Linked DNA regions of Lepisosteus oculatus. The protein of the gene in region 1 interacts with the protein of each later gene in a pairwise test. Links are inferred from orthologs where the notes say so. Each region holds a gene or a part of one and is shown in the gene's direction. Other genes may lie near its edges. The genes, in order: ubxn11, enkd1 and rhobtb3.

Evidence for each region.
Region 2: the proteins of ubxn11 (region 1) and enkd1 interact in binary tests that used the Homo sapiens proteins (3 or more experiments, as listed by UniProt). The two-hybrid records come from large-scale screens. The link is inferred for Lepisosteus oculatus from reciprocal best matches to the Homo sapiens genes UBXN11 and ENKD1.
Region 3: the proteins of ubxn11 (region 1) and rhobtb3 interact in binary tests that used the Homo sapiens proteins (3 or more experiments, as listed by UniProt). The two-hybrid records come from large-scale screens. The link is inferred for Lepisosteus oculatus from reciprocal best matches to the Homo sapiens genes UBXN11 and RHOBTB3.

Annotation. Positions count from the first base shown.
Region 1 is NC_090706.1:7,489,609-7,493,358, reverse strand, and holds the start of ubxn11 (UBX domain-containing protein 11), read left to right. Parts: upstream 1-1,372; 5' UTR 1,373-1,520; coding exon 1,521-1,568; intron 1,569-2,511; coding exon 2,512-2,579; intron 2,580-2,866; coding exon 2,867-2,904; intron 2,905-3,750. UniProt on the Homo sapiens protein: May be involved in the reorganization of actin cytoskeleton mediated by RND1, RND2 and RND3. Promotes RHOA activation mediated by GNA12 and GNA13.
Region 2 is NC_090697.1:65,809,457-65,813,206, reverse strand, and holds the start of enkd1 (enkurin domain-containing protein 1), read left to right. Parts: upstream 1-1,140; 5' UTR 1,141-1,187; coding exon 1,188-1,381; intron 1,382-1,672; coding exon 1,673-1,764; intron 1,765-2,039; coding exon 2,040-2,261; intron 2,262-3,122; coding exon 3,123-3,295; intron 3,296-3,491; coding exon 3,492-3,617; intron 3,618-3,750. UniProt on the Homo sapiens protein: Microtubule-binding protein which regulates microtubule organization and stability. Promotes the stability of astral microtubules and facilitates the proper orientation of the mitotic spindle.
Region 3 is NC_090698.1:74,236,749-74,240,498, forward strand, and holds the start of rhobtb3 (rho-related BTB domain-containing protein 3), read left to right. Parts: upstream 1-788; 5' UTR 789-874; intron 875-1,844; exon of another isoform or gene 1,845-2,532; intron 2,533-3,750. Other genes in the region: probable G-protein coupled receptor 150, read right to left, coding at 1-222. UniProt on the Homo sapiens protein: Rab9-regulated ATPase required for endosome to Golgi transport. Involved in transport vesicle docking at the Golgi complex, possibly by participating in release M6PRBP1/TIP47 from vesicles to permit their efficient docking and fusion at the Golgi.

The DNA of each region.
Region 1 (3,750 bases):
CCTTACTGTATAAATAAATGTTCTTTTTTCGAATTTCCTCTTATATAGGACAACAAAATATCAAAAGCCTTCATATAAAATCTTAGTATTCTATATTTCCAGAGAATTCCCATGACGTGAATTGACTGTACTCTGCCTGGCGATCTCTGTCGCTAAGGTTGGCGCAAGAGGTAGCCAGTTTAAGAAGCACAGTGATTAACGAGTGGGTCGGGGAGCACGTAGATTACGAAGGATTTAACGTGCTACTTTAGTTACGATAGGTTTTGGGAAACACTCGTAAATTAAGGATCGATCTTAAGAGCAAGTTTACGATGTTCTTAGCGCTACGATGCTTTCGGGAAACTCACCCCTGCCTGACATCAGCTAAATGCAATTAAAAAAAACATAAGAATTACGTATGATCGTAATGTTGGTGGTTTTTAAACCAGGACTTTGCCTCTTAGGCTACAGTTAGCGAAGGACGCCACAGCATGCTCAACTGCTCACTTCTGTGCATGATTTTATCTTAGTGGAAGACATGCACCTGAGTGTGGAGGAAAAGGCGTCAGAAGTGTAAACGCTCACAACACATTTTTGCCACAATAAATGCACTGCCTGCTAGTGTTTGAATTCTTTGAAGCTTCGTGCATCGAGATGAACCTATCTTGTGTGTGACTTCTCAGAAGTGTTCATGTTCTTGCTAGCGTGACGGAGCGAAGGGCTGTGTGAGTCTTTAGCTGGCTGCTTTTAGTGTATTTTACGGCAGAAGCTATCTGCTATTGCACTCTTCCCGTTCCTGTCAAATTTGAATTAATCAAAAAGTTTTCTTCATGAGACAAATTAGGACATTTTAAGGGAATCAGTCCAACCATAAAGGAAGACAGAAAGATTTCTCCAGAAAACTTCTGTCGCTCAAGATATTGTTAAGGTGGCGTGGTCGGAGCAAGATGTGGTCAATCAAGGAACATGAAATGTAGTAAATTATTGGAAATATTATCACTCAATCAATCAATTATCATCGTCATTTTCTTAGCCTTTAGGGTCGCGGGGGAGCCGGAGCCTAAACCGTCAACCGGAGGCTGAAATGTAATGTTTATTCTATTACAGAAAATGTAATATGTATTTTGCAAAGTAATAAAGGATAATGCTTGTATTATTATTATTATTATTATTATTATTATTATTATTATTATTATCGGTGGTGTAGTTTTACTGCATTTTGATTTAATAGAACACAACACATGTAACCTTCTGGCTATATTCTACACATTTTGGACTGCAGCAAAGAGGTTGAGGGTTCTATGCATGTTGTACGTGATCCAGTTCTAAAAAAAGAAATACAATGAGCAAAATTGCGCTTATCTAGTTCTTTTCCCATTGAACTCTCCCAGTATCCCACAAGTCTTCGGGCGGCAGTGTTGAGGTCAGACATCAGTGCGCTTCGGCCAATCGCAAACCACAGCCTGGATTGCCAATGGCAACCGACACCAAACAATTCCGCCTGGAAACGAACTCGCAAAACCAGGAGAGGTAATTCTGATATGAAAGTACTGCTGACAAATGATGTGCACTGTTGTCTAAAAAAAACGGTAACAAACGCTGTTTTTTTGTATTTGAAAAATAATACTTGTAAAGCGCGATCTCTCTGATCCTCAATAGTATAAAAATTAGTTTCGCCTTTTTCAAATGTAACATTTATTCTGCGCTATGAATTGATGTGTGTATTTCATTTGCATAACAGTCACATAGTAATATTGGTGCTCTCCTTCTCCAACGGGTCACTCAGACATATAAATGTCTTTAGATATTGTGTCATTATGTGAATATCCGGAATTATAACCTATATTGATATACGTCGCTTTTATCCAAAGTGACTTACCCAAAATAATAAAAAATATGACATAATCGCTAGAACTGTGAACAGGCACCTGATTTGGCCAAGCATATAAAGCTATAGTGTATAAGCATGCTCTTGCATTAACTTTTAAAATGAGAGATTTAGTTCACACTATAAGGTGAGTGTAATAATTAACAGATGAGTGAGATAATGTGATGAATAAGAGAATAATAGACATACTCAGTAGTTAAACGTTCATAATGAACAGAGGTATTTAGTTGGGATTCCTAATAATGGATCTGGAAACACAAACTGCAGTTGGTTCATTCCTGATGACCTTAATTACTTAATTAAGTAATGAAGTCTTAACTACAAAACTGCTAAAACAAGTTGAAAGTTTTGAATTTATTTTTTCTTATGTTCTTAACCCAAACATGTTCAAGATCTTAAAACAGTCAGACATTTCAAGTTAATCCCATCTTCAAGACAACTTTAGGAGTCAGATAATTGGGATTCAATTGTGTAAATGAGAGTTTGGTTTGAGCAAAGCTGTAACAGGCTTTGGGCCTATGGGGAATCTGTAAATTAGAGAACAAATGTTCAGATAGGCTGTATTTATTTGACAGCAGCATCTCTGAAATCTGTTGTGCTCACAGAGTGATTTTGTGTGTATTTGTTTTCTCCAACTCTGAAAGATGAGCTCTCCTCTCTCTACACTGAGAAAGAACAGAAGAACACCTCTACCTGAGTCACAGAACAATGGGTAAATAAAAAACAGATTAATATAATTATACTTTGCTGTCACAGATGTTTTCTTGAAATATTGCACAACTGCTACTGTACATCTGTTATTTCAATTTACTGTTTATCAATGTACTAACCTTAACAAAACATTTCTGTAAAACAAACTAAGTTGCTATAAAGAAGACATCTGTCTTTGATTGTATCAGTGGTGTATAATTTTACTGCTGTTTCTTTTATTAGTGATATTTGGTGTTAGCTGTGTGTTTGTGTGCTGTTTTTAATTTCTGTTAACTTGTGTTCCCACAGAAGAAGAGCAGTGCCATTTAAAAAAACTCCCTATACAGGCAAGTAGTCCCACATCTTCCTGCATTTACTACAAAGTGGTACAAATTGAATGCATCATTCTGCTGTGTGTAAACTAACACATAACAGGTTTTGTCATGATAGGAAAAACCTACAGTACCCTTTTCATCGCAGTATCTTTCACAGCTTTACACATCGATTTGCAAGATCAGTGTAAGATTGAGAAACACAGGACTAATTATAGCAAATGCTTTTTTTTCATATCAGTTTTTGAGATAGACCTAATATGAAAAACAGCTCATACACTGACTGCTTCCATAGTATTTTAATTATTTAAAAAAGAATTGTTCTTATTGCATACATTTTCTACAGTGCAGTGTGGACAGCATAGTGATATGGCAGTTAATATGCTGTCTTGCAACTCTGCAGTATCCTTTATTGGGTTCTGGGCTGGGGGTACCTTCTGTGCGGACTTTGTATGCCCTTGCCATGTTCACTTGGGTTTTTTGGGGTACTCTAGTTTCCAACCACCTCTCAAATACATGCTGGCGGGCTTCTTGGCAGCCCTAAATTGCCCCTTCCTTGATGAGCAGGAATGGGGCCCCTCCTTCATGAACCCTATCTGTCCAGAGGAGTGTATTTGGAGAAGGTTCTGGTGATGAAGAATACATAATTTCTTCAACGTTGCTGCTACAGTATATGAGACAGAGTGGGGCTTAGCTTTTGATATACAGTAGCTGCATGTCGTTATGGTGTGGTTTTCCTACTGAGTCTTTCTTGATTGTGTTTGTCCTTCACTTGTAACAGTTTTGATTTAGAAAAAGTTTCTGTTTCTGTTCTGGGTTCTGCTTGCCGGACTTAATTTTAAACATTAAATACTACTGTAT
Region 2 (3,750 bases), on another chromosome or scaffold:
GATTCCTCTTTATATTGATTCTGACTCCTGTTGTTTTGCTAATTTTATGTCGCCAAAAAGTTAACATGTTCTGGCCGCAAGTTCGGTAAAATGTCACGCGTTTTCTGAGAGGCGTGTATTTTAAAACGTTATAGATTAATGACCACTGATATGATGGCTGTTAACCTTTATGTGCAGTGACAGAGCCTCGCATCATTTTTAAATTTCATTCGTCGATGTCTGTGTCTTGTCCACAGTCAACCGGCTCTCCTGTCCGGTTGCTCGCTGGTCGTCTCCAAATGATACCGTGCCGGTTGCAGTGTGTTTCGGCGGTTTCACTTTCGTGCACAAGAAACGTGAAAAAAATCGTCTGTGGGGGTGTGCGGAACAGGACTGATGTCAATTTCACCTTTTAAATCCCACATCTCTTTTCAAAGCAATTGCAATTCTTACTGATAACAAATATCACGTATCGTATTTGCTGCGGTCTCCCATGACTCATTCTGGAGTCAGTATTGTACTGTTACTGTTCTGAGTCCACCTGGGTGAGTTTATAGTTGTTCGTGTCTAAGACAGAAGAGAGTTATAAACTGCGAGTCTCGCATACAGGTATAAACTGAATTATACGACTGTTCCTATTATAACTATTACTGCTACTAAAATGATTATGTATCATTAGTAAGGGTGGTAACATCCATTTAAAAACAATTACTGTCAGAATTAAAGTATAACGTTAGAATACGCCTGAGGTATAAAACATAAGAACATAAAGTTTACAAACTACAGGAGGTCACCCCAGACTCTCTCCCTATCTGTGTGTCTCATGGAGAGCAAGCTGGGGTATGCAAAAAGATAATTTCTAATGCAAGAAATTGTAGAGGGTTAATAAAGTGATGTTATTATTATTAATAATGTGGCCTGTTTGGTAGTGAGTGACGGATTGATCCAAGGATCTCATCCAGCTGTTTATTGAAAGAAGGTATCGGTTTCAACCACATGGCTGAGCAGCTTGTTCCACTCTCCCACCACCCTTTGCGTAAAGTGTGTCCTGTGCTCAGCTTGAAATCCATAATACTACTTTATAAACCTTCAGTAATCCAGCCTTAAAAATGAAACGCATCCAGAACAGTCTCTACAATGTTTTCTGTGTCTTTAGATTTTTTTAGCCGGTATGATTTGACACCACATTTAGTCTGATTTAGTACAACATGCCTGATGTGTTATCTTGTCTGTTACTTGAATATTTTCTTTTTATAGCTGTGCCCCGACTGGCACTTCAGCGTGGGAGTATGTCTGAGCCAGTCGAAGCATGGCCACGTGTGTCCGGGGATATGTGTGTGTCAGATTGTCACTGTGTGACCCTGAACCTGGGGTCTCTCCACTATACAGGGCAGCAGCCAGGGTTTGTGGCATCCCCCACTTACTTAAATTAGTGCATTTATCTTCAAAGGTTAGCCATTCACAGTATTATGTGGAAATCGGGCATGTTGTAAATATTAACACATTACTTTCAGGGCTCAGAAGGACTTGTGTTTTGTCTGTATGATAGCAGAAAGAAGAATTGCAGGCCCAAGTCTCAGAAAGATCTCCTGGCACTGCTCGTGCCTTAAGCTCGGGAATGATGCAGGAATTGTAGCTGGGGATTTCAGGCCATGCCCTGATAGTGGATTTTCTCTGGCTTTGTCCCGAGCAGTGGGACGATGTGTGAAGGCCCATCACGGATCTCTGGACCGATCCCTCCCGATCCCACCCTCTTCCCTGAGTTTTACAGACGTCCGGCCTCTGGTAAGACACTATCTAGTCCAGTCTTGGGGACTTGAGTGACCGTCTACTCACATCGGATTCGCCTGAGTCTGTGTGCTTCCCTAGTTCATGTGTGGCCGTCCCATAATTCATCAGTCATTAAACATCTTTCTGTGCCTCCATCCTCCTCCTCTTCCTCAACCTCTTTGTCTTGACTTAGCTCACTCACATTGGAATATGCAGTAATTGGTTATTACACCTGTACTTATGCGAACTGTGGTTATAATCTCTGTGTTTCTCTTGCTCTCTGTTGACAGCGCGAGGCAGGCTAGAGGGGAATGACCTGAAGTTGACCTTTCTGTCCGGCCCTCTAGCCCCTGACCCTTCGCTGCACCCTGGCTGCTACAGCGCACGCCCCCCTCCTCCCCCCCGAGTGCACCCCAACGCCATGCACATCCTCGAGAGGGGTCAGCGAGGGGTCGTTGGAAATCTGCTGCAGCTGGAAGGGGTCTCTCTGCACCCAGATCCCCCAAAACACAGTAAATAAACTCCCTCCCTCTGATATCCTGTTTATCAGATCCGACACACTTGTCAAAGTGTTGGAAGCCCCGATTCGTGTGAATGGTCAGCGTGAGGCTTGAGGAGCAGGAGAAGTATTCCCATCACGATCCCTAACCCCCTAACCAGAACAATGCCCAGATCTCACTTCCTCTTGGAAATACAGGTTTACTGATATGCTGGCCCTACAAATCTTAATCATCATCGCAAATAAAAATGATCTTGCTGGAAGAATGGGATGTGATTGGGCTGGAAATATTTCCTGATATTTCCTGAGGAATATGTGCTGCAGGCTGTCCTTGCTTTTCAGAATGGGATGCCGTATAATCGGGTGGGGTTTTCCAATATTTTGATTATTGAGTGTATATATTGTTATAGAAGGAGTTAGGGAAACAAGTAAGCGTCTAATGCAAATTGTGCAGTACGAGTTAATAGCAGGTGCCACAGTAGCGCAGTGGTTCTTCCAGGGTTCATGTGGGCTTCCTCTGGGTGCTCTGGTTTCCTCATGCTGCATGCAAAGACATGCTGGCGAGTTTGCCTGGCCCTGGTGTGAGTGTGTGCGTGTCTGTGTATGTGTGCCCTGCGATGGACTGGCGTCCTGCCCAGGGTGTATCTTGCCTCCATAGAAAATGGAAGAATGGATGGATGAGTTAATAGCAGAGTCTGTGTAAAAACGAATTGTCATCTGGTACGGTTTTATATTGGAATTGTGCTGTCTTAATCATTTCTGTTTCAAAACAATTGGAGGGCCGGCGTCGCACTGCAATGAGTGTTTCAGGCCGGGTATAGAAGTGCTTCGTCCTAAATCCCGAGCCCACGTGTGCGTTCTGTGGTGTCTTCAGAGAAGGAGCCGCGGGATCACGGCAAGGAGAACGTGCGGCGACTGCGCGAGATCCAGCGCCGCTGCAGGGAGCGAGAGGCCGAGAAAGAGGGCGCCCGGCCTGTGCCCGTCAAGGCGCTGTGGAGGTCCCCAAAATACGAGGCAGTGCCGTCCAAGGTCATGACCCAGCTGCAGGTGAGGCTGGTGGTGCAGGACAGCACTGTTGGTTAACAGAAGCTTGGGGGCTCGGAAACTCCCAGAGAAACTCCCTGCTCCAGGGACTGCTCAGCTCAATACGGCGGCGCTCTGTACCGGCCACTTAACAGGGCAACGATTCTTCTGTCACTCTCTGCGAAATGGACATTTCACATTTCATCCCCGTCTTTCCCAGGAGACGACGCCCCCCAAGAGGTCCGAGTGCCAGAACTTCCTGAAGGCTCACTCGCGCTGTGGAAGTGCAGGAGCCCCACGGCGCAGCCCCTCCCCTGGGCCCCCCACCCTTGACGCGGATGCTGAGGTTAGGGAGGGGGAGGCAGGGTCTGGAGAACAGAGAGGAGGGCCGCGGAGTGTCTTCTTTTTCTGTGTATCTATCCCTTTGTGTGCAGGGGTCTGCTTCACAGTCGGATCCACTCCTGGTTTTACCAGCTGCA
Region 3 (3,750 bases), on another chromosome or scaffold:
CCGCTTGCTCCGGCCGCAGCAGATCTTGTGGAGCACGATGGAGTTGCCCAGGAACGCCACGGCGAAAATGACGGACATCGATATGATTCGGACCTGCCGGTTGTAGAAGGGGCCCCGGGTGGAGGAGGAGTTGCCCCCGCGGTCGGCCAGAGGGAGACTCCAGCGGTCCAGCTCGGACGAATTCGTGCGCGGGTCGCCAGCGAAGCCGGGCGCGCCGTCCATCTCTGCGCGCCACAGCCCTGAGCGATCCTGTCAACTTCTCAAGCTGAAGACGAAGTGCGGGCGCAGGGACCGGCTGCATGCAACGGCAGGACTAACGAACCGTCAAGCACCAAGCCCCGGTCGCCAGCCCAGCGCCCGCGAGTGCCTCCATAGCTCAGAGAGCAGGACCGGCGAGCGCTTGCCAGACAAGGCGTTATAGACCACAGAGCGGCAGCCGCAGCTTATATAGACCAGCCCGCGTCATCTGACGATATACTCGCGGGCAGGGGCGAGTGGGCTCGGCAGCAAGGCGGGGGTCTCGGTGACGCCGAGTTTGCGATCGAACCGAGGCCGGAGCCCTCCTGGAGCAGAGCGGGCACGAACACACGGCAGCGCGAGTGAGAGCGCTTCACGGTGCTGGGCTCGGGAGAGCACGCAGAACCGCAGTGCCCCTTACACAGAGCAGTTCTGTGCGTCATTCTTACACCCCGAAGTATTAAAATCAGTGCCCAGAACAATCACCATCTGTGAATGCACCAGAAAATGAGCGAGCGCGTCTTCGGAGTGACAGACGGCAGGAATCCACAGCGGGATCACACGGGAAGGGGACGGGAAGACCGGGAGGTCCACACCTGGCCCGCGGGTACAGGGATCATATGATCGCGATCTGATTGTAAATACCGCTACTGCTACCGCTACTGCTGGTACAGCTATTACTAGTGCTGCTACTGCTGGTACTATTGTACTACTACCTCTCAACTACTACAGTCGCTACTAGTGCTCCTACTCCTGCTATTACCTCTTAACCACTACAGCAGCTACTACTAGTGCTGCTGCTGCTACGTTTCTGCCTCTTCTGCCACTGCTCCAGTCAGCACCATTGCGATCCCCGTGTTCGTGTGGGGTGTCAGTGCCCCACTGCAGACACGCTGGCAGGTTAATACGCTCCTGGGAAACTCCTGGTGTGTGTGAGAGTGTGTGAGTGTGTGTGTGCGCGTGTGTGTGTGTGATTGTGCGTGTGTGTGAGTCTGAGTGTGCGAGTGTGTGCAAGTGAGTGTGTGTGTGAGTGTGCGTGTGATTGTGCGTGTGAGTGTGTGTGCGAGCGAGTGTGTGTGTGAGTGTGATTGTGTGCGTGTGTGAGTGTGAGAGTGTGTGTGTGATTGTGTGCGTGTGTGAGTGTGAGAGTGTGAGTGTGATTGTGTGCGTGTGTGAGTGTGAGAGTGTGTGTGTGAGTGTGAGTGTGATTGTGTGCGTGTGTGAGTGTGAGAGTGTGAGTCTGATTGTGTGCGTGTGTGAGTGTGAGAGTGTGAGTGTGTGTGAGTGTGCGTGTGCGTGTGATTGTGCGTGTGTGATTGTGTGTGTGCGTGTGTGTGAGTGTGTGTGTGAGTGTGCAGGGGTCTGGTGGGCCCTGCCTGGCGCTCATCTCTCCGCCGCCACCCTGAATCGGATGCATCCGTTAGAAACGGGAGGAATGGACGAACTTTTAGCCACGTTTCGACACCTCGGCGCCGTTTCGGAACAGCAGTACAGCAGCTCGAGAGTTAGGAGTTCACGCTTTTCCTTTCAGCGTGGAATCGGCCTTCACCTGTTGCCTGGAGAGGCCGCGCACGCCATCTAGCGGTGTAACACACACCTTACAGAACACGCACTTCTCCCCGGCTCTGCAGCAGCCGCGGGGAGCACCGTTTAACCGACGCGCTTCACGAGCTGTGAATTAAAATGATATAAACATATAAGGGAGAGTTTAATTCTTGTTTCAGTGAAATATGTCATACCCATTTCTATATACACTACAAGCGCGCCATGATAACAGCTTAATACGTGTTCGTGTATTTAGGTGAAACATAAATATTTTTTTTGTTGCTCTAAGTCATCTAATTTATCTTAGATCTTGGACAGTTGTTTTCGAGTTCGACTTTAGCCAACAATATTAAAACGGGTATTTTGGTGATGCTGCCTGAATTTATCCGCGCTGAACAAACGGATCCCGCTGTTTCATTTGATGTGCAACTCCAAATAAGTGCAATTCAGAAAGTACAATTCACAGGGGGGAAAAAAAGTATCTGTTTCGCTACAACAGCTGCAAGAAATAAGAGTTTTTGTTTGTTCATTGTGAAAATCTGCTCTCCTGCTTCAGCACCACGTGGGGTGTCACGTGTCCAGGTCGTGGCGTCTCGCGGACTGCGGTGCTCCCGTGATTTCAGTCCGGCCAGGAAAACGCAGAAAATTGTTTCAGGGGACTAGATCTATATTATATTTCTGTTTCTGACCTGTGCTGCTTGGGTCTGCGGTGTCACCAGGATGAGAAACGTCTGAAAGGACGGCAGACCGGTGAGTGCGGCGACGTCTGGGTATTTCTCTGACCCGCCGGCTTTTATTTTAATGTCTGGTTTGTGTCGGACATCAAAATAAAGGTGGACGTACACACAGCTGGTGTCGGGTCCAGTTCGGTCCCCCTGTACCCCTGTACTCAATCTGTACCCCTCCAGTACAGTCTCTCCTGGAATCTGTACCCCTCTAATACAGTCTCTCTGGGAATCTGTACCCCTCCAGTACAGTCTCTCCGGGAATCTGTACCCCTCCAGTACAGTCTCTCTGGGAATCTGTACCCCTCTAATACAGTCTCTCTGGGAATCTGTACCCCTCTAATACAGTCTCTCTGGGAATCTGTACCCCTCCAGTACAGTCTCTCTGGGAATCTGTACCCCTCTAATACAGTCTCTCCTGGAATCTGTACCCCTCCAGTACAGTCTCTCTGGGAATCTGTACCCCTCCAGTACAGTCTCTCCTGGAATCTGTACCCCTCTAATACAGTCTCTCCTGGAATCTGTACCCCTCTAATACAGTCTCTCTGGGAATCTGTACCCCTCCAGTACAGTCTCTCCTGGAATCTGTACCCCTCCAGTACAGTCTCTCCTGGAACCTGTACCCCTCCAGTACAGTCTCTCTGGGAACCTGTACCCCTCCAGTACAGTCTCTCTGGGAATCTGTACCCCTCCAGTACAGTCTCTCTGGGAATCTGTACCCCTCTAATACAGTCTCTCCTGGAATCTGTACCCCTCTAATACAGTCTCTCTGGGAATCTGTACCCCTCCATTACAGTCACTCTGGGAATCTGTACCCCTCTAATACAGTCTCTCCTGGAATCTGTACCCCTCTAATACAGTCTCTCTGGGAATCTGTAGCCCTCCAGTACAGTCTCTCTGGGAATCTGTACCCCTAATCTGTAATGTCAACGTGCTCCACAAAGCTTTGTAGCTTATTAGTTTCTTATTAAAAGCAGCACCAGCTGTTAATAATAACAGCAGCTCCTGCATGGATCTTGGTGCCTTGGCTCCTTGAGACACAGATGGACGGTGCCGGTTCTCCGCACGTGTTTATCTCGGTTTCTCTGTGTGTTTCATGAGTGGTGTACAGCATTACCGCCCCCCGGTGAATGAACGCTGAACTTTCTTTACATGAGAGAGGGGGACCGATAGCAATTGTGTTGCGTGCGTCTTTTGTCTTCTCTTTGTTACAGGTCAATCATTGCATACGCCCAGGATGAGA